2 linked regions of the Caenorhabditis elegans genome follow. The protein of the gene in region 2 purifies or fractionates together with the protein of the main gene of each other region. This does not show direct contact. Each region holds a gene or a part of one and is shown on either strand. Other genes may lie near its edges.

Region 1 (3,541 bases), 4.1 Mb from region 2:
GTTTTGCAGGGGAAATAATTTATGTGTATCCATTGCTCATTGCCAGATTGATCATTCAGATGCATCGAAGAATTTGTGTTCGATTACTCTCATCAGCAAGATCTCATTAATTTTGCAGAATAACCTATGTTGCGTTGTATGTTCTTCGTTTTTAGCTTTTCGCTTTTTGGCAAGAAGAGCCCGTGACGTAAACAAGACCTCACACGAAGAATACTTTATGAGTTGTATGGGTGATGTTGGACGCGCACGGCGATCAACTCTTCAGGGCTCATTTATTTACTGTTTAAAAGTTTGAAAACCAAAGTTAGACAGTTGGAATGATCTAGAATAATGAATAGCTTCTTTGGTCTCTATACGTCACACATATATTTCATTTTTTGGTGGATCTACAAATGGAATAATCTAATCGGATTAAGAATGGAAAGCAATAATGGATGTCAGTTAATCCGGCATTTATACAATCAAGATGAATGGGTATAATCAGAAGATTTACCTACGTCGAAGGAGCCTCTTCATGATATCTGAAAATAGTCGGCTAACTTATAGTTGGGAGAGTATGTATACCATAGTCTTTGTTCACTTTTTCTTTCAAATATTCGTAAGCAATCGATCATTTGAAGATTCTGGGATTATGGAACAACTCAGAATACTGCAACGTTTCTCATCTTTATTCAGTTCGTTTGTTCAATTATCAGAAATGGTCATTATCACGGGTTCAAGGAAGAAGAAAATCAGGAATTATTCAAAAATGGGGATTATAGGAAAAGAAGACTGGCGACATCCCGACGAATAGCATATTATTGGACGAAAGGATTCAGGAATTAGTAGAAGACTTCTGGCATCGGGAGCTTATTGAAATCGAGGAAGGTTGTAAATCCTTTTGGTAGATTGCAACCGTCTCTTTTGCACAAACAACGTAGGCTGACCTGAGATGGATGGTTTGCAGCGTGGAATTGGAATGCCTGAAGTGATTTTATATAAGAAACCGATTCCTCCAATTATATTAAGCCTGATAATATTGAACCTACCTCTTGTAGACAAACGTTGATCACAGCGTGTCCTGGGATTGGATTTCCGTACATGGCCAAGATGTTGGTGTAATCATCGGAATCCATTTGAACTCCATTGACGTAGTACTTGTTGTAGTCCTTTGGGTCTGGCATGTAGCTACACAACTCGTAGATCGGCTCGCTCATCGTGTATCCTTTTGATGGATTGTTGACATCAATCGGCTCCCAGCACCGAATGCTCTTTGTGAGTTGATCGTGAGCATCTTGAACGGTGTTCTTAGCAGTTGAACGAACACTGTAACCCGAGGCCAGGACGAGTGAAGAGATGAGAATAACAGTTGGAGTGTTCAACATGTCGACCGTTTCAGTGAGATCGAAAAAAAGAGATCGGCAGATGTCCGAGTGACTCGAAGTAGTGATTAGCCCTACTGCCAACTCTGTTTATATGATGAAGCTGAAATGGGCGGAGTCAGTTTTTTAGTAACGAAAGGCGGGCTTTGAACAGAGCTGGAAAATAGGAAAAAGGAGGTGGAAAAGAAAAGCTGAAGATCAGGAGGTGTTTTTTAGAAACATGTGACAGATACGGGTGATAATGTTAAGATAAATGGTCAGCTCATGTTTTGATTAAGTTAAAAGTACATAAGGATCAAGGGAAGAATGCCAAGTTATGTCATATAGATAGTAAGGTTTTCAGAATGAGGAGATCGGAAAAAAATAACACGGATATCCCTTTATTCACTAATTGGGGTTTTTGACGTGTACTTATTTCACTAGGGCTGTACAAATCGGCGTCCGGTCGTCCGATTTTGACACCACCGGACGCACTGCGTCCGGTTTTGGGGTAGGTTTCCACGGCGGCCGACAATTTCCGAGTTTCGCCACTCACTATACTTAATCAGCAGTTTTATAGTGAGTGGCGAAACTCGGAAATTGTCGGCCGTCGTGGATAGCTACCCCCAACCGGACGCATGTGCGTCCGGTTCGGACGACCGGACGTCCGGTTGTACAGCCCTATATTTCACCGTACCAAACAGGGCGCCATTTGAGATCATTCTACACAGTGCGATCTTCCCTACTGTTGATCAGAACTCTTTTTGACTCAGCGATTCGGTGTTCTTTTGCCTCTTGACGTGAATGATTTCAGTTAGCCTCTACTAATTAGTTATCCGCATCGCTACCAGCACCAAAAATATTTCTGAACTCTTCTGTTTTGTGAGCCACAACGTTGACTCATTATTTGAACGACCAAATTTTGGAGTTAAAATTTTTTTAAAGACAATCTGCACGTTTAGTGATTGATCTACCACGCCTTATGAGGTGATCATTTGAATGTTTGCCAGTAGCTTTAAAGAGACATTTGATAAAGTATAGAAGATCAACAAATCGTTTTGTACTTTTAAATATGTCTCACTTCAACGAATGTAACTTTTCTAGTCGGCATTCCCATCCGAAAAAAACCGAAAAGTCCGAGCTCCCGGGCGTCACTGTTAATCTCAATTTAATCCTAGTGAATCTTAAAGTGTCCAGGAACCACACAAAATGAGGAATCCAATTTTCAGCGTGAAAATTTCAAATTTTTGAGAGGTGTGGAAGTGGCACATTTGCGTGTGAAGAACGCTTCTGAAAATGATTGAATGGTCACGAAGATGCTCAAAAAGAAATTTAAAAAAATGGCAAAAGTACATCTTGTGCCCTTTGCACTTTTCACCCAATTTCTTGTTCTGATTTCATTATTGACGTCAATAAAGGAAGAAGGACCCTTGTCAAATGACCCTATATCTGGTATCATTCTGACTACATTTTGTTGCAGATAGATCTGACCTGTGAAAAAAGTGGAAGTATTTAATATTCTGTCTTGTGATTTTTGAGCTCAAAACCCCAAGTGTCCACAGTTTCAGAAACTGTCGACTAGCTGGAAAAAGGAAGAATAATGCCTGTGAATAATAATAATGATTATTATAATACGTCAAACGAGACAGTTTCCTTTCAAATCAACATGTCTACGATATGAGAATAGGAAATTGAATCACTTTATAGGATTACAGTAAAATCCGATGTATGAGAGGAGAACAACAAAACAAAAACCACGCAAAAACTGGCTTAAAGTAGACTTATTCTTATGGGAGGCAAATTTTATAAACCCGCGCGATTTGGTAGATTACTTTCTAAACAAAATCTCCGAGTCCAGAAATTATTTTTTTTGGAGATTAAAACTAATATATGTTTATTTTCCAGCGATTCGACAATGCAGTCCAAGAATGCGATTTTATGAATAAATGGCCAGGCTACAGTCCGTCTTCAATGCGAAAAGATCTGAAAAAGTTGCATGATTTGGTGAGTTTCAACAGAAATGCTTCGACCACACTACATTACTCAACATCACTACAATTTTCCCACGTTTACAAAAAATTTACTAGAAAATTTGGTCTTTCGTGTGATTCTTCTACAAACTATAAGTGTGACTTGTTTCAAAGAACGACAACTTTTTCTTTGAGTTTTTAGTTTGAAATGTCATGTATCCCGGTTACCGG
Region 2 (2,879 bases):
TTTTGTCTGGAAAATCACTAATTTTGAACTTTCACATGTGGGCGTATTCATAGGTGATTTACAATTTTGCCCTTTTTCATATAATTTCTATGTGTTTGATCAGGCAGTTAGTAAATTTTTATTAGATTTTGTTCACTATCAGCCGTTTCCGGCCTATTTTACCGTTTTCAGTACAAATTCGGCTCAAAAAGCTCACTCTCTCGCCCATGAGAGACACAGAGAAAGTTCATCACGTCAATTTGATTTATTTTTTGAAATGAAGAGAGGCCGTGTTGGAGCTGAAAAAAAAGTTTTAGGTTTGAATTCGAGAAAGTGTATTTTTTCTTAGTTAAATTCACTGAAAATCCGTCAAATTCTCATAATTTCAGTCCACTCAATTTATCAGTAGATGTGGCAATTTAAACCGTAAAATTCTTACATTTTCAACGAATTCATTTTTTCTTCCAAATTATCGGTCATTTTTCTGGCGAAAATGTTCTTACCAAGGGAAATTGCCAGAAAATTGAAAAGAATAAGAGAAAAATCATACGAAAAGAAACATTTTGTTATAACACTCTATTTTTCAGCAGAAATTAGCAAAAAAATCGCACTTTAAACGTTAATCTCTACTTTTAAGTGAAAAACAACCAAGAAAATCTAAAAATGAGCCAGAAGCTCGTCAATTAGAATGCCGAGTACGCAAACACTTGATATTGCGTACTTCGCCGACTACAGTACTCCAACAGAATTTATTTCGAAATATTTGATTTCCTTTACGGAAAACTTGAGAAAATAATCATAAAATTGGTTAAAATTCAATATTTCACTGATAATCGACAGAATAAGAAATTAATTCAAAGTATACACATAGTTACAATTAAAAATATATCACAAATTGCATAAATTCAAGTGGAAATTCAGAAATCAATATAAGCAGTAATCTTGATGGCTCCATTGTCAGCAGGTTGGTCAATTCGCATTCCGAATGTATGATTCCGTGAAGAAACTGTCACATCAAAGTTTTCTCCGACTTTTACTTGTCCATATTGAGCTTCCAGCAGGAATTTGCATGGGATTTCGTATTGTAGCCGAGAACGAGTGACCAGCTGTGTGTAAAGTTGGCCTCCGTCGCTGTGAAGAATGAGATCCCTGGAAAAATTAAGGTTTTCAGGGAGTTTTCTGGCATAAAAAGTACCATTCGATGCCTCGCATCTCTTCCCATTCCGATAAATCTTCATTTCTGTTGTGAAAATCGGCGGCAAATCGAGTTCGGTTGATGATGTAGCCGTTTCGGTCCTCCTCGTTCCCATTATCGGCCATTTTTGCTGAAAAATTCAAATTTTTACTCGAGTTTTGGGAGAAAAGGTGAAAAAACCTCAAAAATGTTGGTTTTCAGGGGGGGAAAAGTGGCAAATTGCACAGTTTTTACTAGAATTTAGCGTAGATTTTCAAATTAAAAGCAAAAAACTATGGAAAAAGCAAAAAATTCGCTGAAAAACGGACAAAAAAGACTTTTTTTTCAAAATGCGCCGCCGAATTCGAAAAAATGATGATTTGTGCATTTTTGCGTCGCGGTGTACTGCGTACTTTTGAAAAAACTGCGGGAAATTTGAATTTGAATTTAATTTGCAGGAATATCTGCTTGACTTTAGCGTGTTTTATTGAATAATTCATCTAATTTTGAAGATTATTGTAAAATATGAATAAAAACGACAAATTTTATATATTTTCTGTGTTTTCCTATTGTGCATTTTCAGAGATTATTCGCTGGAAACTTGGAAATTGACTTTATTGGGCAAAAAATGTTTATTAATCGACATTAATACTGAAATGATACGTAAAAATTGAAATTCTCAAGATTTCTTCGTCATTTGTTCGTTAAAATCCACTTTCTTGACGATTTTCTTTAATTTTCGGGCTTCTAAAGTGATTTTCAATTATTTTTCAAATTCCCACACATTTTCTAATGTTCAAAGTGTATTTTTTTTTCTTGGTAGCTTGAAACCTCTGAAAACCTCTGAAATCCACCGAAATTTTTCTTCCAATTCGAATTTCGCGCGCATTTCACCGTTTCGAGTCCAATGGAGCGCACTTGCATTATTTTCGAGACATTGAATTTTTCGCCTATTTTCCTCGGTTTTTCGTCATTTTTTCTGGATTTTTCTCATTTTTCCAATGTTTTTTCGAGTTTTTTGATGAAAAAATCGATTTTCTTGATTTTCAGACCACCGGAAATGTCGAAAAGTGAGCATTTCGTCAGTAAAGTGAGTCGGAACCTGGGAATTTCCGTAAATAATCCAGAAATTCAGGAAAACTGGCAACATCTCATCATGAAGCCGGGACCATCGAATTTGGCACTTCCGACGACTCAAAAATTCCGACAAACTTCGAATGGAAGGACAATGAAGCAGACTTGGACCTGCGGGTGAGAAATTTCTGGAAAAAATCGAATTTTTTTCAATTTTTTCAGAGTTTGCCGGAAGGAATTATCGTCAAAACGGAGTTATACAGAGCATATGAATATTCACAACAAATCACGGCCATTTCAATGTGAACATTGCGTTTATGCTGCAGGTTTTGGCGGAAATTCGCGAAAAAACTGCCTAAAAATTGATTTTTCAGCCTCCCAAATGACTCTACACCGTCATAAACTCCGAAATCACACTCCAAAAGCTGAATGGGGATATCGGTGTCCCTATTGTGATGATGCGTACATGGAACCTGCTGGATATCAGCAGCATGTCCAGTAAGTGGACGGAAACCTGGAAAAATCGATGAAAAATGGCTCAAAGCTCATGGGAAATTGAAAAATTCGGCCAATTTTCACCCAAAAAATTCGAGAAAGCACTGATTTTACACGTAAAACCCAGGAGTTTCATCAATTTTCCCTTTTTTTTTCG

What was found.
Region 1: the proteins of Y59A8B.12 (region 2) and droe-4 fractionate together in Caenorhabditis elegans (co-fractionation; one large-scale study listed by BioGRID). This does not show direct contact.

What each region holds. Positions count from the first base shown.
Region 1 is NC_003283.11:13,990,585-13,994,125, reverse strand, and holds droe-4 (dietary restriction over expressed), read right to left. Parts: upstream 1,471-3,541; 5' UTR 1,365-1,470; coding exon 1,029-1,364; intron 963-1,028; coding exon 822-962; 3' UTR 650-821; downstream 1-649. Other genes in the region: ric-7 (CRAL-TRIO domain-containing protein), read left to right, coding at 3,246-3,344.
Region 2 is NC_003283.11:18,084,920-18,087,798, forward strand, and holds Y59A8B.12 (MATH domain-containing protein), read right to left. Parts: upstream 1,306-2,879; 5' UTR 1,300-1,305; coding exon 1,175-1,299; intron 1,129-1,174; coding exon 897-1,128; 3' UTR 790-896; downstream 1-789. Other genes in the region: fbxa-106 (F-box domain-containing protein), read right to left, coding at 163-208; slr-2 (Synthetic with Lin-35/Rb), read left to right, coding at 2,214-2,243, 2,289-2,404, 2,450-2,553, 2,602-2,725.